Linked DNA regions of Sus scrofa. The protein of the gene in region 1 purifies or fractionates together with the protein of each later gene. This does not show direct contact. Links are inferred from orthologs where the notes say so. Each region holds a gene or a part of one and is shown on either strand. Other genes may lie near its edges.

Region 1 (6,681 bases):
TTTTAGGTAGCAGTGAGGACGTGCAACACAGGATTTATAAGAGAAAGAAAGAAAACTGCATTTTGGGAATAGTGAACTTTGTTTGTATACTTTTGGGATAAACTGATTACCTGGCACCTAGCAAAGAGGTCAATCTGAAAATCTGTCCTTGAGTATCCTCCAGGGATATCAAATAAAACAATTTTTTATTACCAATTTTCAAGTAAACTTTTTTTTTTTTAAACACCCCTAGACTTCCCCAAACCTGCTCATGGTTTACCTACAGAGCATACTTGTATAATATCTGCCAGAGTCTTTTTTTTTGGTCTTTTTAGGGCCATACCTGTGGCATATGGAGATTCCTAGGCTAGGGTCCAATAAGAGTTATAGATGCCAGCTTACACCACAGCCACAGCAATGTGGGATCTGAGCTATGTCTGCAACCTACACCACAGCTCACGGCAATGCCAGATCTTTAATCTGCTGAGTGAGGCCAGGGATTGAAACTCATGGATACGAGTGGGGTTCTTTACCACTGAGCCACAACAGGAACTCCTGCCTGTCCTTTTGTTAGTTCAGGTTGTATAGTTTCTCTCTTTTTTGGCAGCACCTGTGGCCTGTGGAAAGTTCTGGGCCAGGAATTGAATTCGAGCTGCAGCTGTGGCCCATGCCACAGTTGTGACAATGCAGGATCCTTTAACCCACTGTGCTGGGCCAAGGATTGAACCTGCATCTCTGCAGTGACCCAAGCCACTGTAGCCAGTCTTAACCCACTTTGCCACAGCAGGAACTCCTGTACAGTTTCCCATGTTAGAATCTTATAGAAGAAACCCAGAGATTGGGAAAGACCCAAAATAAAGTGGTCCTGGAGAATCTGAACCCTCCCTTTGCCAACCTCACCCGAACTTTTTTTCTTCATTTAAACAGAGCATCAGGAGTTCCCATCATAGCTCATTGGAAACAATTCTTACTGGCATCCATGAGAAGGCAGGCTCGATCCCTAGCCTCGCTCAGTGGGTTAAGGATTCGGCATTGCTGTGAGCTGCGGTGTAGGTCACAGATGCGGCTCAGATCCCGAGTTGCTATGGTTGTGGTGTAGGCTGGCAACTACAGCTCCGATTGGACCCCTAGCCTGGGAACCTCTATACATTGCAGGTGCGGCCCTAAAAAGACAAAAGACAAAAACAAAAAACACAAACAAAGCATCAGGGGAGTTCCTGTTGTGGCTCAGTGGTAATGAACCCCGCTAGGATCCATGACAACTCGGGTTTGATCCCTGGCCTCACTCATTGGGTAAAAAGACCTGGCATTGCTGTGAGATGTAGTGTAGGTCAAAGACTCGGCTTGGATCCTGTGTTGCTGTGGCTTTGGCTGTTGATGGGCTGCCCTAGCCCTAGGAAGGCTTGCACCCTTACAGGCAACCCTGGAGCCTGAGCTCCAGATGTGGCACAGCACTGAGGAAGCAGGAGTGGAGGGGCACTGCTGTCACAGTCCTGGAAATGGGGGCTGCTTGGTGGGGCCAAGTGGTCTATAGACATTGGCATCTCCCTGAATAGTGGGAGTGTGAGGATGATCAAGACAAAGGACAAAAAGAACAAAGAAGAGGTTAGCTGGTGACAGAGAAATACAGACAGAAACAGAGAAAAACGGAGTTCAGAGCTTAAGTACTCACAGAACAGAATCACGCAAAGTTAAACAGAATTAAAGTTTATTTGGAAGGTAGGGTAAATCCATCACTGGTGACTGGAGCTCTGAGGCTGCACTTTCTCCTCAGGAAGGTGGGCTGGGATGGGGTTGGCTGTGTTTGGCTGGGGCTGTGGTGGTGTGGGATCTGAGTAGATGAGCAGAATTAATTTTGTAAGCCTTGGCACCTTTCACACCAACCCAGAACTCACCTACATGTCCTTAGCAGCTCTATGTTACCCACTGCTTCAACGCCCAGAAGGTACCCCCATTTCCTTTACCACCTCTCACCTGTCTGGCTCCCTAGCTGGGCCTCAGGCCGGTCGCCCCAGAGCAGATGCCTAGGATCGTTGAGGAACCGCTGGCTGCGCTGGCATGTTAGGCAGGTCTGTACAGTCCAGCGCTGACCCTTGCAGCCTGGCGTGCATGTGGGGAAAAGAGAGTGTCCACGTTTAGGAAAAGAAAAGGTCTCCTGTACCCAGTTTTGCCTCCACTGTTCTCCAGTAGGGATTCCATCCCCTCTGTACTTTGCATACACATTTGATGGTGTCAGGTCCCTGCATAAACACTGTCAATTTCTTGGTGCCCTTTAAGATAAAATCCAAACTCCTTAACAAGATTCTTCAGGTCTACCCTGTTTCCCTCTCCAGCCTCATGTCTTGCCTTTGCCCACCTCAAACTCCAGCCTCCTGAGCTTGGAGGACCACAAGCTCTTTGGTCTGAGGTCTAATACAAACACCTAGGATTTCCATTTCCCACTCCCTTTGCTTATAATGAACCTCACCATCAGTAGTTGAAGTAATTTGTATACTAGTCCCCCAATTAAAGCATTTTCTATGCTATTCTATTTTCTTTTTCATGCCTCACCTGTGGCTTATGCGAAGTTCTCCCGCTAGGGGTTGAATCAGAGCTGCAACCGAGGCCTACACCACAGTCACGCAGGATCGGAGCTGCATCTGCGACCTACACCCTAGCTTGGGGCAACGCTGGATCCTTAACTCCCTGAGAGAGGCCAGGGATCGAACCTGCATTCTCACGGACACTAACCCGCCGAGGCACAACGGGAACTCTATTTCTATGCTATTCTAATTGTTTCTGTCTTACTTTGTCCCATCACACTCTAGCGCAATGCCGGACACATCTCAAAAAATAACAGTTGAATGAATAAATGAAGATGGAAAGCATGTCTTCCAGGTGCCAAATAACATCTATTATCACGCACGGGCGAGGCGCCTCTCAAGGCAACATCATTTCTCTACTGCCCAGACCTAGTCTATCCAGGCGGAGTTAATTTAACTCAGAGCTAGAGAAAGCCTCCGCCTCCATATCCCACACCTGGCACCCATTTAAACCCGGGAAGGAGACTTGCCCTCCCCTCCCCCAGCCCACGGACATTCCCCAGCAGAAGGGAGCACTCACGTCGCTGGCGCTGGGTGCAGGTCAGGCCCGGAATGAGGAGGGAAGAGCAGCCACGGCAGAGGGTCCTCTTCACCGAGGGGTCCCTGGAGGCGGAAGTGGATAATGGTCTAGGCGCCTGCGGATAATGGTCTAGGCGCCTGCTCTCTCCCTCCCGTCCTTCCCTGGACTCGCCCACCGCCGTCGGGCTTCGTGCCCCTCTCACCGCCGCAAGACGAGCCGCTTCGCTATGGTCCTCTCCGTGTGGCAGTAAAACCTCGCTAGCGCCTGGTTCTCCGGGTCCTGCGCGAGAACGCAATGGGCGGCCTGAGGGACGGAGCCGTCACTGGGGGCCCGCCACCCTGGACCACTTCCGTACGCGCGGGCTGCGACGCAGACTCACCTGATACAAGAAGCTGAGTCTCTGGAAGGCCTCGCGGTCCTTCACCTGCCCCGCCATCCACTCCGCGCGCGGCAGCTCCGCACCCTAAAGTTCACAGGCCCCGCTCTTGGAGGTAGCCCCGCCCGGGGCGTCCGCGCAAAGCCTCCTGGGAAGTGTAGTTCCTGGGGGCCGTGGGCATTCCTCAATCCGGCGCCACCGTGCGGCCGCACAAACCCATCTAATTGCAAACCCACCTGCTGCGGGTAATCCAAACCAGGGGGTGTCTATGTTTTGCTTTGTCTCCACCCCCAACAACCCCGCCCCGCCCCAGCCACAGCAACATGGGATTCGAGCCACGTCTGCGACCTACGCTACAGCGTAGTAAGGACGGAGCCCCCCCAACCCACTGAGCGAAGCCAGGGATCAAATCTGCATCTTCATGAATACTAGTCACATTCATTTCCGCTGAGCCACAAGGGAACTCCTTGGCTTCCTTTTAGTCTTCCTCATGCCCACGATAATATTAGATAAAGACTGGAGAGACCAGTGGAGCCGGAGAAAATCTTAAACTGCTAAACATTTTCAGGACAGAAGACTGGTCTCTTTGTGCAGGTAGGTTGGGGAGATGGTTATGCACAATTCATACCCAGCTACTTCCTGCCCTATGCTCCTGAAGCCAAAGGCAGATGGCCTGGAAGATCTACAGACTAAAGGAGTGGGTTATATACTCAAAAGAAGCACTGGCGCCAGTGGTGGGGAAGCTGGAAAGAGTCGAGGAAGAGGGCTCCTGGCCTTCAGAAAGCCCAGCTTACTCCCAATCTATTCCACTTAAAGAAACACACTTCCTGTCATGCCGTTCTGGACACGCAGTAGGGGAGAGTACAGGAACATGTCAACAACACCCCCTCTCCCCCAGCACAGACATATATAATGCTTCATATCCCTCCCCTTGCCTTCTGACTCTGTTTGCTATTGGACATCATATGTTTACCTCTGTTTCATAGTTAATAATCACTGTGTCCTGAGGTTTAGATGTAGAGCCACAGAACAGGAATAATCCCTGAGATAGGGAGAGGGCAGCCCAAGTCAGGAGAGGATGAGAGTTCTCTCTTCTCTCAACCCCCGTCAGGCTGGATAGGGAACCAGGCCTCCAGCTTGAAGGAAATGGCTGAAATTTCCTCTTGGATAAGTTTCAGAACAGTCCCCAGACTCAAATGAGAAGTATTCTTTAAAAGGCTCGGTGGAAAGGAACCTGACTAGTATCCATGAGGGGGGTTTGATCCCTAGCCTCGCTCATTGGGTTAAGGATCTGGTGTTGCTGTGGCTATGATGTAGGCTGGCAGTTGCAGTTCCGATTCAACCCCCAGCCTGGGAACCTCCATATGCAGCAGGTGCGGTCATTAAAAAAAAAAAAAAGGTACATGCCCAGGCTCATCCCAGATTGGGACAAATCACTGAGGGTGGGCCCAGGAACATGCATTTTTAACACCAAAGAATCGTATACATCAACAGAAGCTGTCATCAAATTACCACACGACACAGAGATCACTTCAGTGGATCCTTTGTTCCATATTTTGTTTTACCAACCAAAGCATCTTGCCACAAAGAACCACAGTCAAGGCACAAAGGTAAGAGGAGAGTCTGGACAAAGTCCTGTTGAGGTGGTAGGAGGAGCTGAAATGCCCTCAATAAACTGCAGTTTCTTATCCTAATCTTCAGTGAACCCCTGATTACCCAAGTAGCAGATAATCCAGTCATTTTAGTTTGGTTTGGCATGCATTGCTTTACCTTTTTTGACAACATATGTACCCTACAGTTTGTTTATTTTGGCCTAACATAAAAATGACTTACATTCTCTGATAGGAGAAATGGCAAAAGGTGAAGGATGGCAACAAACAAGCAAAAAAATTGGCTCTTGTGAACACTAGTTCCAGGCCATATGCACACAGGCCAAAGGAAGTTGCCTATCTGGCCCTTCCCTATACATACCACCCCCTTCTACCCTGTCCCAGGGTGAGGAAGACTCCATTTTCTTTCCCCCGTCCAGCTTGGACACCTTAGCCAGGTAACAAGGCTGACAACTTGGGAGCAGCTACTCAGTAGCATTCTTTAAGGCAGGGGCTTTGGATAGGAATACTTTTCTCTTTCTTCTAATACCTGACTCTCTCCTCTCCAGGTTGGGAAAGCAGTGAAGGGGTAGACACGTCTTGCAGGAGCTCCTGCACCTTGCCTCTCCAGATGAGCAAGGTAACAGCTCTTAGAGACGAGCAACTACAAGGAGGCAGGTGATAAGCCAGCTCTGCTGAAGGCTGAGGCAGAGACCTGGGTTCTCTTTCTTCCCCGCATTCCTACCTCCGGTCAGTCCTACCCATGATGGCAACCAAAGCCACTCTTCTCTTCAGCAGTCTTTAGGAATCTGTTTCTTTAGCCCCCTTTCCTAACCTTCTTTCTTAAGTTTTTTTTTTTTTAACCTTCTAGCTCTTTTTTTTTAAACCTTCTTTCTAACCTTGATGCCCAATCTCTGCCCTGAACAAAACTCCTCAACTTCTAGACCCACGAGAGCAACTGTCATTCAACTTAATTTCAGTCTAGAGGTACAGAGACCCCTGTGATCTTCCTAAAGAAACCAGACCATTCTGGGTCAAAGAAACCCCCTAAAAGGATGTACAGGGGTTTTGGTTTCCTCCTCTGACTCGAGCAAGTCAGACCCTCCTATAGACTTGTTGTTTCTGGAAAAGCCTCTCCTTCCTTCCCAACCCATCCTGTGCAACAGAAAACCTGATGGACTTCAGGGGCGACAACCCCCTGGGAACCAGCTCCCCACCCTGACAGTTAGGAGGGAGACACAGCGTGCTCTCGTCCCAGCCCAGTCCTACCTACTCCTCCACATAAACCATTCTAGAAACCATGGTGTTCTCCCAGATGGTTCAGGACTGGAACCAGCAGACATGAAGACGCTCCAGCAGGTCACAGGAAGGAAGGCCCGTAGCTCTTGACCCTGCCTCACCCTGATTATTCCCATGTCCCTACCTGTCACTCCCAATCTGTTGGGGGTCTGATGGTCAATGGTGCAGCATTCTTCCGACCAGCCCGGATGCCTGGGTAGAAGAGGGGCCAAAGTTTTTCAGTAAAAGTATCGGTGAAGGTGTAGATGTGAGAGCGGTCTGTGACGTTATAAAAAGACAGTGTGCCGGCCTCATAGTCTAGGAATATGCCCACCCGCTTGGGTTTCACCTTGATGT
Region 2 (7,298 bases), about 20 Mb from region 1:
CTATAATCAAATAATAATTCCCATATGAGATGTTGAAAATAATATGTGTTCTCTAAGAGAAACCAAGGCAAATTGTGCAGTTAAATACCAGGGCACACAAGGACTCTTACTTAAGATTCAAGGATATTATTATGTATTAATACATACATCTTCTTATAATACGAGGGTACCGTTTATACATATTTATATTTTACAATATGAAGGTATTATTTAAACATTATATGTATAAAGAAATTATTTATTACAGTGAAATTAGAATTACCTAAATTTCTACTGAAAGAATAAATAAATGTATAAATGAATACAGTTCTTTGTATAGAATGTTTTTTTAAAACATTAAAAATGGTAGATTAAAAAAAAAAAAAAAAATGGTAGATTAGGAGTTCCCGACGTGGCTCGGCGGAAACAACTCCGACTAGGAACCATGAGGTTGCGGGTTTGATCCCTGGCCTCCTCAGTGGGTTACGGATGTTAACCTCAGCTCACGGTAAGGTGCTGCCATGAGCTGTGGTGTAGGTTGCAAACGTGGCTCGGATCCTATGTTGCTGGGGCTGTGGTGTAGGCCGGCAGCTGTAGCTCCGATTGGACCCCTAGTCTGGGAACCTCCATTTGCCATCAGTGCAACCCTAAAAAGCAAAGCAAAAAAAAAGGTAAATTAAAACTTCATGCACTACAATCGAGAGCTGTCTATGACATACAGTTTGGGAAAAAGGCAAAACGAGAAAATGGAGTACGACAGGTATTTTATAAAAAAAGAACCACCCGGGGGACTTCTCGCTGTGGTGCCACGGGTTAAGGATCTGGTGGTGTTGCAGCTGCAGCTCAGATTCGATCCCTGGACTGGGAACTTCCCTATGCCGCAGGTGCAGCCAGGCCGGGGTCTGTGTGTCTATAAATTCACAGAACACGTCTAGAAGAATAAACAGCACCCTGCTAACAACAGTTCTTCCAGGAAGGGGAGTGAGTTCGGAGGGAAGGGGATGAAGGGGGCTTCCACTCTTCCCCTGGAGCCCTGGCATTTTCTTTTTTACAGGGCGTACTTCCTTTACAATTACAGACAGAATGAAAAACGCAAGTCGTTACCGTTGGGCAGGAGGGCGGCAGCGTTATCCTCGTCGATGTTCGCGTTGTACGTTAGGGCAGAGCACGAACCTGGAAACGAAAAGCCCAGAGGAGAACGAAGGCGAGAAAAAAAAGGCCACTCCTGCAAAGGCTGCTGGAGTATTTTCACGTGATGACACCATCTTCCGGGTCACTGCTCCAGCTCCAGCTCCCTCAGGGGCCCTCCGACCCGACAAAGCAAAGCTGGAGGACACGAAGGCCAAGCATGGCTCGTCCACGTCGGCGCCCGGGGCCTGCTGGTGCCCGCGGACTCTACCATCGCACAGAAAATGGACTCAGGATGGAGTGCGTACCCTTGGGGATGCTGGCAGAGAGGCAGGAGGTGAGCGGGTAGGTGACTGTGCACACCTGAGAGGGAGAGGCCAGGTGAAGACTCAACTGCGCCAGGAACTTGCGTTCAAGTCAAGAAAGCTACTCAGGAGTTCCTGTCGTGGCTCAGCAGGAAGGACTCTGACGCGCCTCCAGGAGGAGACAGGTTCAATGCCTGGCCTCGCTCAGTGGGTTAAGGATCTGGCATTTTGCCGTGAGCTGTGGTCTGTCACAGACGTAGCTTGGATCCCGCGTTGCTGTGGCTGTGGTGTAGGCCAGCAGCTGTAGCTCCGATTCAACCCCCAGGCTGGGAACTTCCATATGCCGCAGGTGTGGCCCCCGCCACAAAAAAAGCAGAAACCACCATCTAATGAGCGCACACACTGGGAGATGAAGGGACCACACAGACGGTCTCTGCCAGCCCTACTCAAACAGGAGAAGCGGCAGCTCCCGTGCAGTTCAGCAGGTTAAGGATCTAGTGTTGTCGCTGCAGTGGCTCAGGTCGCTGCTGTGACTTGGGTTTAATCGCTGGCCTGGGAACTTCTACACGCCGAGGGCATGGCCAAATAAATAAATAAATGAGTTCCCGTCAGGGCTCAGCACTTAAGAACATGACTCAGCCGTTAGTATCCATGAGGATTTGGGCTGCATCCCTGGCCCCGCTCAGTGGGTTAAGGACCTGGCGTTGCTGTGGCGGTGGTGTAGGCCGGCAGCTATAGCTCCAATTCAACCCCTAGCCTGGCAACCTCCATATGCCCTGGTTGTGGCCCTAAAAAAAAAAAGCCCTAAAGAAACAAATAAATAAAAAAACAAGAAGAACTCTAGTACTTTGGTGCCCTCCCCCTGGATGTCATCTCACCACATTCACAGACACTACACGGCTTTTCTTACCTTTCTTTACAAAAGTATTAATGAATTCGTGGGTGATTAATTCATGAAGAGGTAAATCCTTCACAGAGTAATAAGGTCCAAACGCCATGACCAGGTCTTTCAGTTCTTTTGAGAGTATCCCACATTCAGGAATCAGAAAGGAAACCTATTGGTAGGCAGAATATAACAAGGCTTATTTTTAAAAGCTGAAGTATAGTGGACTTATAGCATTGTGTTCGTTTCACATGTAGAGCAGAGTGCGTGCGTGTTTTTGTAGATTTTAGTCCACGACACAGTTTAAACAAGTTTGACTTTCGTATAGATCAACACCCAGGTTTTTTCATTTCTGTATTGATGAGCAAAACAATTTTAATGGAAAGCTCTGGCTTTTGTCTTATGTTCTGCAAATGAACGATGTATTTTCGGTCCTGTTCCTTTCACTACATGAATTAACTTTTAGGAAAATATGGTACAAGTGCACATCCCCAGATCTGCGTAGCGGACAGCGGAATATCCCTACACCTGGTACCAGGCTGGAACCAAAGGAACTGTCCCTTAGGGCATAAGGAATTTAGGGACGCCAATTATTATGAGGCTTCAAAGAAGCAGAAGTCTGCTGGATGTTTCCACTTTTCAGGTAGAAAAACTCTACAGATGAGACCGGGGAGGTAAGGAACACATCCCAGGCTGCCTGTGACGAGCTCTCCATCCAAAGCAGAGATACTCAACCTGAAAGATTTCAAATGCTGCCCAAGTGCTCCACACCCTGAAAAACCACGCACCCAAAGCTGGGACACCAGTCTGGCCCAGAGGAACCAGCGTCACCACTTGTGTCTGAGGATGGGGCCGGTCAGGCCCGAGTTGAAATTAGGCTCATCGATTTAAAGTATAAAAGGCTTAAGCCATTTTCATTTTAAGGTTTTTTGAAGCCCCCTCCACTTAAATGGGTTGGTGAAGCTGGCCCACCAGACACTTGCCTGGGAGCTACAGAAGTTTTCTACTCTCAGCAGATGCTGGATAAACCAATAATTAACCTCCCTGGTGCCTCGCCCGCCGCACCCACGAAAAAGGCGCCCCGTGAGCTTGACCTTTTCACGAGGCAACAGCGAACATCGCTCTTACGTGCTCGCGAGCAGGGCCACCTCGGCGCCTTTCTGCCAAAGAGATGGCGAGAAGGTTCGCTTCCGTGGGACATCGCGGAAGGCACCAAGCAAAAGGCACAGTGTCTCAGACGTCTAACCAGGGCCGAGGGGCGGATCAGAACAGCCAGCAGCCTCCCGGCCAGACGGCGCGCGGTGCTCAGGAAAGACCCCCGCGGGCGGGCGCACTGGGAAAGGAAACCGGTTTGTGGAAGAGCGAGTCCGGTTCGGACCACGTGCGGGGCATTGCCCGCCTACCCCCGGCCCCGCCCCTCCCGGGACGCGCCCAATCTGCGACCCGGTGGGAACAAGCGGCCAGCCGCACGCCGCCCCGCTCCTTCCTCCAACGGCGGGACACCGCCCCGCGCCGGCGCATCCTGGGAGTTGTAGTCCTGTAGCGGGGCAAACCGCAGACCCGAACAGGCTAGGAGACTACAGTTCCCAGCATGCCTGGAGAGGCCCAAGCCCCTCCGCACGCCGAGGGCGGGCTCCCGAGGAAGAGAGCCCGGCTGTCCCAAGCCTCCCTCTCCTCCGCGCTATGGAGCTCGGTTCGCGGTCTCAGGGCGGAGACTTACCCTGTAATTGTAATAGTGCGTCTCCACGATATGCCGGTGGCGCGACTTGTCGTGGCCGAAGTTGGACTTCTCGCAGACCAGCAAGTGCCGGGGAACCTCCCGCAGCCTGCACAGCGTGGCCATACTCTCCCCGCGCGGGCCCTGCCGGGGCTCGGCTAGCCCCGCCCCTCCTCGCCCGCCCCGCCCCTCCTCGCCCGCCCCGCCCCTTCGCCGCGGGCATGCGCAGTGCCTGCAGGCCACACGTGTTCAGGCGGCCAGGGTAGGGGCGGGGCTGACGCAGAGTGCGGGACTAGGCTGACGGTGAACCCAGGGCAAAACTCGCTGGTGGGTACTGGGAAGGTGCGCTGCCCGAAATGAATGCTCTTGCCTGAATCCTTTCTCTAGACTGGGGTTGCTCCTTCCCAAGTTCTACACAAACTTTTGCGTAGAAAGGTAGTACTCAGTACCTTCAATAGGACTCCTTAAGACTTCTTCCGAGTTAATTTTTCTTTTTTTTTTTTGTCTTTTTGCTATTTCTTGGGCCGCACACGCGGCATATGGAGGAGGTTCCCGGGCTAGGGGTCCAATCGGAGCTGTAGCCGTCGGCCTACACCACAGCCACAGCAACACAGGTTCCGAGCCGCGTCTGCAACCTACACCACAGCTCACAGCAACACCGGGTCCTTAACCCACTGAGCAAAGTCAGGGATTGAACCCGAAATCTCATGGTTCCTAGTCGGATTCGTTACCACTGCGCCATGATGGGAACTCCCCAGAACTACTTTTAACATCCTTTTTTACATATCTTTTTGGAACTTTTTTTGGCTGCTCATGTGGCATGTGAACGGAACCTGAGCTACAGCAGTGACCCCAGCCGCTGCAGTGACAACTTCAGACCTTAGTCCACTGCTCCAGGCGGGAATCCCCTTTTGCAACTTTGTTTTTGTTTTTAGGGCTGCACCCGCTGGCATATGGAGGTTCCCAGGCTAGAGGTCAAATCCGAGGTGTAGCTGCTGGCCTACACCACAGCCACAGCAATGTGGAACTGCTTTTAATAATTTGTTGCTCTTGGAGGTTATAGTGATAACTCATTTTTCCATCTAATTTTTCTGCTTAACTCCAAGTACTGTACTACTCCACGCTTTTCAAACTGGAGGATGCACAGCCCCAGTTCTACACAGAGGATGCAAACAGAGTATTTGTGATACACCTTTCTGGAGCATTAATTTTACTAAAAGATTTGGAAGGACAGAAGTTAAGTGATTTAGGGGGTAAGTATTTGCAATTCCAAAACTAAGACGGAATTCCCGTTGTGGCTCAGCGGAAACAAATCCGACTAGTATCCATGAAGATGTGTGTGTGATGCCTGGCCTCATTCAGTGGGTTAAGGGTCCTGCGTTGCCGCGAGCCGTGGCGTAGGCCGGCAGCTGTAACTCTGATTCAACAACCCCTAGCCTAGGAACCTCCAGGGTGGGGCCCTAAAAAGCAAATATATATATATATATATATATATATATAATAAAACGAAGACAGACTGGAAAATCTTCTGCCATTAATGTCAGCGACCTATGCCTCAAATGTCAGATTATCTCAGAGCACTCTAAGCAAAACCTATTTTCCATTATTTTAAGTAGGAGAAAGAAGGAATAGCAAGTCAATCAAACAACTACCAATATCCTAAATCACAATATGGCATCTAGATGTAACTTATGAATATTGTATTAGAATATAAAATACTTAAAGCAATACTTCTTGGTTACCACACAATTCAATAGCAGTTGCTTCTCAACAACTATTGAACAACACCTGATCCTTCAACCCACGGAGACAGGCTAGGGATCGAACCCGCGTCCTCATGAATGCTAGTCAGATTCGTTTCCACTGAGCCATGACAGGAATTCCTGATCCTATTCTTAAAAACTTACTAAATAAATAAACTTACTAAATACAAAGATTTGGCACATAATATTTGGAATTTTTTTCAATTTTTTTTGAAAAAAAATTATGGCATTACCATTGTGGCTCAGCAGTGACAAATCCAACCAGTATCCATGAGGATGTGGGTTCGATCCTTGGCCTCACTCAGTGGGTTAAGGATTCCAAGTTGCTGTGGTTGTGGGGTAGGCCGGCAGCTGCAGCTCTAATTTGACCCCTAGCCTGGGAACTTCCATATGCCATAGGTGCAGCCATAAAAAAAAGAAAAGACAAAAAGAAGACAAAACCTAATTCCATGTGCAAGGATGGGCTCTAGCTCCAGACTCATGCACTGTGCTCTTCTCCCAGCCATGGACTGCCATCGGGGTTTCTGAGATTAGAAGCTAAAAATGCCCTACAAATAAGAAATGCTGGAGAGGATGTGGAGAAAAGGGAACCCTCCTACATGGTTGGTGGGAAGGCTAACTCGGTACGGCCGCTATGGAGAACAGTCTCCAGTCAGAAAACTAAGGATCGAGTAATGGTATGATCCAGCAATCCCACTCCTGGGTATATCATATACCCAGACAAAACTATCATTCAGAAAGATACATGCAGGAGTTCCCGTCGTGGCGCAGTGGTTAACGAATCTGACTAGGAACCATGAGGTTGCGGGTTCGGTCCCTGCCGTTGCTCAGTGGGTTAAGGATCCGGTGTTGCCGTGAGCTGTGGTGTAGGTTGCAGACGCGGCTCGGATCCCGCGTTGCTGTGGCTCTGGCGTAGGCCGGTGGCTACAGCTCCGATTCAACCCCTAGCCTGGGAACCTCCATATGCCGAGGGTGCGGCCCAAAGAAATAGCAAAAAGACAAAAAAAAAAAAAAAAAAAAAAAAAAAAGAAAGAAAGAAAGATACATGCAAGCCAAAAAAAAAAAAAAAAAAAAAAGGACAGTAAAAAGGAGTTCCTGTTGTGGCTCAGCAGAAACAAATCTGACTAGCACCCATGTGGACGCAAGTTCAATTCCAGGCCTCACTTAGTGGGTTAACGATCTGGCGTTGCTGTGACCTCTGGTGTAAGTCGCAGACAAGGCTTGGCTCTGGTGTTGCTGTGGCTGTGGCGAAGGCTGGTGGCTGCAGCTCCGTTTTGACCCCTAGCCTGGGAACTTCCATGTGCCAGGGTACAGCCCTAAAAAGACAAAAGACAAAAGAAACAAAAGCAAACCAGAAAGATACATCTACCCCTACATCCATAGCAGCACTATTCACAGTAGCCAAGACATGGAAGCAACCTAAATGTTCATTGACATAGGAGTGGATGGAGAAGATACAGTACCTGTGTACACAGTGGAATACTACTCAGCCATAAAAACAAATGAAATGATGCCATTTGCCG
Region 3 (7,301 bases), on another chromosome or scaffold:
CACATGTGCAACCCTAAAAAGAATAAAAAAAGAAAAAAGAAAAAACAAAGTGCCATAGCCACCCCAATCTTCAGCATCTGCCACCTTGATCCATCAGCAGCCTTTAGCATCAAGGCAAGAGCTTCCACCAGCAAGAAGATTATAACTTGCTGAATATACAGATGAGGGTGAGCATTTTTAAGCAATACGGTATTTTTAAATTAGGCATATATATATATAGTTTTAAGACATAATGCTAACCTCACACTTACTGAAGTACAGTACACTGTAAGCATAGCTTTAATATGCACCAGGAAACTAAAACATTCGTGTGACTCACTTTATGCAGTGGTCTGAAATCAGACCTGTAATATCTCTGAGATATATCTGCACAGTTAGAGAAAAAAACATGCATATTAAACTACACGATGAGATATTTTAAAGGTTGCAGGACTTCAGAAAGATGATCAGAGTACTGAATTGACAGTAAGAGAATGCTTTCTGGAAGAGCTGAGTCTTTATGGAAAGTAAGACCGGTAGACAGAGGAAGGGAACCACACATATGACTGCATGTCTGAACCAAATGAACAGGTGTTATGCTTCTTACACCATGCACTTACCTGTACAACTGGCAAAGTTGTAAAAAGCTCCGAAACAGCTACTGGTTTTTCAATTTCCTATAACAAACAACAAACAGTCACCCTAGATGGTACATGTTAATGTGATGAAACATAACAGAACACTTACAACAGGTTTTCAGTAAGATAATTAAAAAAATAAAACGAAACAAATTTCTGTTACTCAGAAACACCAAGTTGTGCATGTCATTTTTAACGTAGAAAGCTGAAGAGCAGAGCAGCAGCTGAGAATATCAATGGATAGGAGGGATGAACAATAGTTCGGAGACTGAAACAATCTGTAAGGAATGGCTGTTGGCCTGAAGGGAGATATACATATTTGCTAGCATGTTGGAGAGGGAAATCATGAGTCACTGACAGAAATATAAAAAGAACTAAATATTGTGATTACAGTTTAGTCAATAACAATGCACTTTAAGTTACTGAAAGTTAATTAACATCAAATCAACTATAAGAATCCTTATACCATGCCCTAGCACTTCACTAAAAACCTTATCATTTGCACAAATATTCATCAGCTCAACTGTTAACATATAAGACAGTGCAGAAGTTCCTGTTGTGGCACAGTGAGTTAAGATTCTGACTGCAGCAGCTTAGGTCGCTGCAGAGGTATGTGTTCAATCCCCAGGCCAGTGCAGAGGGTTGATGCATCATGCCTTGCCATATCTGCGGTGCAGGTTGCAGCTATGGCTCAGACTCAATCCCTGGCCTGGGAACTTCCATATGCCGCAGATGCAGAACTTAACAAAAAAAAAAAAAAAAAAAAAAAAAAAAAAAAAAGGAGTTCCTGTTGTGCGTCAACTAATATCCATGAGGACGTGGGTTTGATCCTTGGCCCTGCTCAGCGAGTTAAGGATCCGGCACTGCCATGAGCTGCAGCAAAGGTGGCAGACGCAGCTTGGACCTGGCGTTGCTATGGTTGTGGTATAGGCTGGCAGCTTCAGCTCTGATCCATCCCCTAGCCTGAGAACTTCCATACGCCGTCGGTGCTGCCCTAAAAAAAAAAAAAAAAAAAGGGTAAAATAAAAAAATAAACAAAAAATAAAAAAAGACAGTGTACAAAGAGTGAACTTAACAAATATGCTCATCTGCAGCTTCTATATTACAAATATACACACAAATAATTATAAATGCTAGTTATTATTAACTTCAGAAATTGTATTTTACCTGTTTCTTTTCCTTAAATTCAACAACATGATTGATGGCAACAACTGAATAGCCCACTGAAAAGAAAAATTGAACATTCTTATTAAATACAATAACCTCTCTTCCCTGTACACATAGGCTCATCCCAATTCATATCAAGACTAGAAGATAGTTAGAAGAATGGTTATGGGACAGGCTCTGGAGTCAGACTGCCAGTTTTCAAATCTTAAGTTACTTTAAGTTTCAGCTTCTTCATCTATCATATGGTGTTAATAACAGAATTTACCCCATATAACTGTCATGAGAACTAAATGAGATAACACACATAGCATGTTTAAAAATGGTGGCTGGCACAGAGTTAGGGTTTTGTTTGACCTGGGTGATGTATTATTAGCAAGACACAGAAGACCCTTAACTTTGTGCATCTCCTTTCAACCATCATTCTCTTTCAGGCCTTTTTTCATTTTCATCCCATCAAATTATATTTTTTCACTGTTATCTTCATTCTTACTCATTTTGTTTGCTCTTTACCCCTTCTGCTTTTTCAGAGGCCCCTGTGCTAAGGAGAAATGGAATAAGGACTCCCTTACATGCCACTGTCCCCATCCCCTTTTGAGTTGCCCACCAACAAGAGATTGGGAACTCTCTGAAGTCAGAGCCTAGTTTATCAGCCTCAACACAGCACTGTTTTTGGACATATGGACTACCAAAAATACATCTAAATCATGACTTAAAACGTTGAGTTAAACACCAATGGGGAGGACAGGATATTAATATTAAAGAAATAATGCATATCGGAGTTCCTGTTGTGGCTCAGCAGTAATGAACCTGACTAGTATCCAAAAAGCTGCAGGTCTGATCCCTAGCCTCATTTAGTGGATTAAGAATCCAGTGTTGCCACGAGCTGTGGTGTAGGTTCAAGCCTCCACCAGGATTCCATGTTGCTGTGGCATAGGTGGGCAGCTGCAGCTTCAACCCCTAACCAGGGAACTTCCATACCCTAAGGGTACGGCCCTAAAAGGACTAAATAAATAAATAACATATATTAATGCCAAGATAGTGGTCTTCCCTCTCAATAGTTTTTCCAATTTCCTTCTTTCTTTCCTCCTTCAAATGAGGATCCATTACTTGATAGGCCCTGCAGATATCTCTCTCTCTCTCTCTTTTTTTTTTTTTTTGCTTTTTAGGGCCGTACCTGTGGCATATGGAAGTTCGCAGGCTAGGGGTCGAATCAGAGCTATAGCTGCCAGCCTACACCACAGCCACAGCAACACGGACTTCAAGCCGCATCTGTACACCGACGCTCACCCCAACGACGGATCCTTAACCCGCTGACAGAAGCCAGGGGTAGAACCCACATCTTCATGGATACGAGTTAGGTTGTTACCGCTGAACCACAACCGGGAACTTCGAAGAAATGTCTTTATTTTTAAACCCCTCTATCTCCACTTAGACACTTTAAGTCTAAGGAAGAAGGCAGAAGTCGCGATTAACTTCGATTAGAACGATCTTACCTCTCAGGGCTTCTGCTTTCCTTGGATTCAAATACGAGTAACATTCTAGCATTCTGGCCATGCTGGTCCCTTCCCAACCTCTTGGTGTGTCCTACGCCTCAACCTACCCTCCCTCTAAATAACATTATTCCAACACTCGCAGCCCCACGTCCCACCACCCCCGCCCATTTTCGGAGCACCCAAAGCACTCCCCATCTGTGCACCAACCAGCTTTCCGCATTTGACTGAGTCAGTACACAGTGGTGAGAGGTAGGAAGGGGCGATATTAAAAGCACAGGTGGAGACTAGCTTTGGCCAGCCTTCAGCTGTGAGGCCCTATATAAGTCCCTGGCCCTGTTAGGACCTCAGTTCCCCAATTCACAATAAAGAAGGAGCTGGACTGGGTAACAGTTCCCCAGCGCTTTTCGAGTTTCCCGGGCCCGGGATCACAGCAACCCCGCAGAAGGCATCAGCTTCCAGAGACTGCCTCCAGACCCCAGAAGACCTGAATGAGGCCCGGCCGCGTCCCTTCCGAACGTGGCCCGACGATCTGGATGGCAGCGAGGCTGGGCAGGCACCGCTGCTCGCGAAGCCGCGGCGACTCACGGTAAGCGGCGTTCTCCACGAGCCCACGCAGCGCCTTGAGGTCGGAACCCGCTCGCAGGTCCAAATCCACGAACACCGCCATGCTGAAATCACGTGAACTTGCGCGGCTGTCTGCGCAGCCGCAGGGCCCGCCCCCTCGGGGCACGCTGGGAATTGCAGTTTTCCTAAGCAGTCCTCCCGTCCCTCCCGCGGACTGACGTTCCCAGGCTCTTTGAGCGCCTTCGGATCCCAGCAGAAGTTAGTGTGTGGAAGTCAGCAGCCTCACTTCAGTTCTTCTTCCTCTGGATGGGAAAGTTTTGTTTCCCTCGAAGGGGTTCACATAGCCCACCATTCCTCCTGTGAAATAATGTAGAAAATGATTCTTTCAAAATGTACGTATACAGCATTTATTGAGGACTTACAGGGAAAGAAGGTCTGGAAACCCTTAAAAAGTAAGGGTTTTAAATCCGTTTTTCTTTCCCGCCCCTAAAGGTCATTCCATTGTTTAAATTGGACTTAATGGGGAGATGGGGAAACTGACCTGACAACTCGAAAAAGGTTTGCTCGAGAAAAAAGTCATTTTGCTCAATCAGAACAGACGGTGGCACAGCATGCTAAACTCCATTACAGCCAGTATTCTCAACCTGGAGTTGGCAGGGATAAGCGGTTAGCTTCAGCACGTGTTTAGCCAAAAATGGGTTAGACAAGGGAGGTGCACAATTGAAATGTTTTACAGTTTTCCGTCTGACAGATGTACAAGGTGGAATATATCCCACAGTTGTGATGGTTCCACATTTTCGTACACATGAACTCTTGAAGAGTGATAAATTAATTATCCGAGAACATAAAACTCTGGAACTAGAGTTTACATCACTGCTTTACAAAGTACCCGTGATTACTGGGTCAGTTCACCGAGTTCCCAACCCCCCTCCCTCCACCAGTTCTTCTAGCACCAGTAGTGATCCATTGTCCTTTACCCACAGGCAGCTCTGGCCTCAAAAGATTAATCTAACATCTGAACTGCTCTATACTAGACTGAATAAGAGTCCACAAATCAGGGGCTTGGATCTCCAGACTATGCCAAAGGGATGTGAAAGTTTGTAAACATTTTCCGTTTCTTTGCTAACTTGTCACAGACAGTACACAGAGTCTCGGGTTTGTGGGCCACATCTTGATTTGTTCTTTACATGACTTCTTTCTTGGTCTCAGAAGGGAATTTTAAGAGGGATCTGTTCCATGTGGTAGTATGTAATTCTCCTTTTGGTTAAGTTCAATAAAAAAGAAATCTTCTGCTATCTAATATTTGATGTTTTCTAAGTAAGAACAGAAGAAAATTTTACTTCTGCAAATAGAAGAAAGTCATATAAAACAAACTCTGGCTTCTCATCTGAAAATCTCGTGTTAATTTTGCAGGAAGATCTAGTGTTAATTTTATAGGCGTCTTCATCTGCAGCCACAAAACCTAAATTGTTTGGAAATATGTCCGATGTGTGGTGAAGGTGAATAAGATGACTCATTATTTGATACCAGAATTAGACTACAGAGGGCTTCTTTCTTTGAAAGTCATGACGCTGTTTCTGTGGACTGTATACCCTTTAAACTTCTTATCTTCACCCTGGGCTTAGAAGGGAGGAAGAAGGACGAAAAAGAAAATGAATGAACGACAGTCACTGAGCAGTCTACTGAGGGCCAGCCTATTTGCTAAGTAGTTGCCTGCATGTTTAATTTTCAAAACAACTGAGTTAAGTGCTGCTTTTTCCACAACCTCTGCATTTTACATTTGAATCATCTGAGGCTTAGGTCATTGTGGTAGGACCACAGGTGGATCCAGGTGGCTTGGATCTATTCTCATGTCTCTATGTACTGTCTCCTGGACAAAGCAAGCAGAGAGGAGAGTTGGAGGATGGAAAAGAGGAGGGAGTAAAGACAGGGGAAAGGAAGAGGAGAATGAAGGGCGGGGGTGGGGGGAGAATGAATGGAGGGGGAGGACAGAGGAAGTAGGGAGAGAGGGAAAGGAAAGGAAGGAGATAGAAGAGGGAAGGAGGAGTGGGAAGAGAGAAAAAAGAGAATGCCATAGGGGAGATGAGAAGGGAAGAGGAGCCAGAAGTTGACTTGGGGAGTTCCAGTCGTGGCGCAGTGGTGAATGAATCCGACTAGGAACCATGAGGTCGCGTGTTCCGTCCCTGCCCTTGCTCAGTGGGTTAAGGATCCAGCGTTGCCTTGAGCTGTGGTGTAGATTGCAGACGCGGCTCGGATCTGGCATTGCTGTGGCTCTGGCGTAGGCTGGCGGCTACAGCTCCAATTCGACGCCTAGCCTGGGAACCTCCATATGCCACGGGAGCTGCCCAATAAATAGCAAAAAGACCAAAAAAAAAAAAGTTGACTTGGATAGGTAGCTGCAACAGCAAGGATCTGGAGTTAGAAGAAGACTGAAAAATTTCTGACTGGAACATAATAGGACTATAGATTTACTCTATGTAATTCCTATCTGCTGTCCAATCCTCTCAACCAGCCCATGAGAGAGTTATTGTTTTTCATATCATATCAGGTAGGAATCCTGGACTCAAAGATGACTCTTCAGTCATTTCCTCTTCCTTAGGGAGCCGAGAAAGAGAGGGTGGGCTTGAATATCCAAAACAACCTTCAAGCCCTATTTGGTCTCCCTGAAGACTTCTTTTTCTCGGACTGGCCCCTCAGTGCCAGCGCACGCTTGGTTGGTCTTTGGCTTTATCCTCTTCTCATTTGGATCACCCTTCCTGAGTGAGCTGAGAAGCATTCCTCCTGATCTTGGAGAGACAACAGTGAGTGGTGGCTGAAGTGAGATCTTAATTCTCTGCTCATAAATTAACCCTGGGAAGCCTGGATGAAAACCAGGAATCCTAGCCACTAGATGAGCTGGAGGCTAAAAGCAGAATTACCCTGATTCTTGTCCCCCACTGAAAGCCAGAATGGTTCAAGGAGGGAAAGACTGTATTAAAAAAAAGTGTAAAGTTTATTGTTAGAAACCCAGTACAACATGCAGGAGAGCACACAGAGAAGTAGTTTGTTTATGACAGGAGCAAGACAGTAGTACACACCCTAGAGAGGAGTGTGGGTCTGGATGTCCTCCTCAACGAGGCATGCACCAGAGAGGAGATTTAAATCACTTCTATAGGAGTTCCTGTTGTGGCACAGTGGTTAACGAACCCGACCAGGAACCATGAGGTTGCAGGTTCATTCCCTGGCCTTGTTCAGTGGGTTAAGGCTCTGGCATTGCCGTGAGCTGTGGTGTGGGTTGAAGACGCAGCTCGGATCCTGTGTTGCTGTGGCTCTGGTGTAGACCGGTGGCTACAGCTCCAATTAGACCCCTAGCCTGGGAACCTCCATATGCTGCAGGAGCAGCTCAAGAAAAAAGGCAAAAAGACAAAAAAAAAAAAAAAAAAAAAAAAAAAAGTCACTTCTGTAGGACAGTTCTTGGTCT

The links.
Region 2: the proteins of RPP21 (region 1) and RPP40 purify together in Homo sapiens (co-immunoprecipitation; 3 studies listed by BioGRID and IntAct, counting the BioPlex papers as one, with this or other methods). This does not show direct contact. The link is inferred for Sus scrofa from reciprocal best matches to the Homo sapiens genes RPP21 and RPP40.
Region 3: the proteins of RPP21 (region 1) and RPP30 purify together in Homo sapiens (co-immunoprecipitation; 3 studies listed by BioGRID and IntAct, counting the BioPlex papers as one, with this or other methods). This does not show direct contact. The link is inferred for Sus scrofa from reciprocal best matches to the Homo sapiens genes RPP21 and RPP30.

Annotation. Positions count from the first base shown.
Region 1 is NC_010449.5:23,061,278-23,067,958, reverse strand, and holds RPP21 (ribonuclease P protein subunit p21), read right to left. Parts: upstream 3,594-6,681; 5' UTR 3,518-3,593; coding exon 3,461-3,517; intron 3,385-3,460; coding exon 3,284-3,384; intron 3,165-3,283; coding exon 3,082-3,164; intron 2,080-3,081; coding exon 1,954-2,079; intron 1,811-1,953; coding exon 1,713-1,810; 3' UTR 1,672-1,712; downstream 1-1,671. Other genes in the region: TRIM39 (tripartite motif-containing protein 39), read right to left, coding at 6,473-6,681. UniProt on the Homo sapiens protein: Component of ribonuclease P, a ribonucleoprotein complex that generates mature tRNA molecules by cleaving their 5'-ends.
Region 2 is NC_010449.5:3,001,105-3,008,402, forward strand, and holds the start of RPP40 (ribonuclease P protein subunit p40), read right to left. Parts: upstream 4,196-7,298; 5' UTR 4,139-4,195; coding exon 4,016-4,138; intron 3,629-4,015; exon of another isoform or gene 3,390-3,628; intron 2,468-3,389; coding exon 2,323-2,467; intron 1,153-2,322; coding exon 1,084-1,152; intron 1-1,083. UniProt on the Homo sapiens protein: Component of ribonuclease P, a ribonucleoprotein complex that generates mature tRNA molecules by cleaving their 5'-ends. Also a component of the MRP ribonuclease complex, which cleaves pre-rRNA sequences.
Region 3 is NC_010456.5:102,562,696-102,569,996, reverse strand, and holds the start of RPP30 (ribonuclease P protein subunit p30), read right to left. Parts: upstream 4,196-7,301; 5' UTR 3,945-4,195; coding exon 3,863-3,944; intron 1,841-3,862; coding exon 1,785-1,840; intron 657-1,784; coding exon 600-656; intron 1-599. UniProt on the Homo sapiens protein: Component of ribonuclease P, a ribonucleoprotein complex that generates mature tRNA molecules by cleaving their 5'-ends. Also a component of the MRP ribonuclease complex, which cleaves pre-rRNA sequences.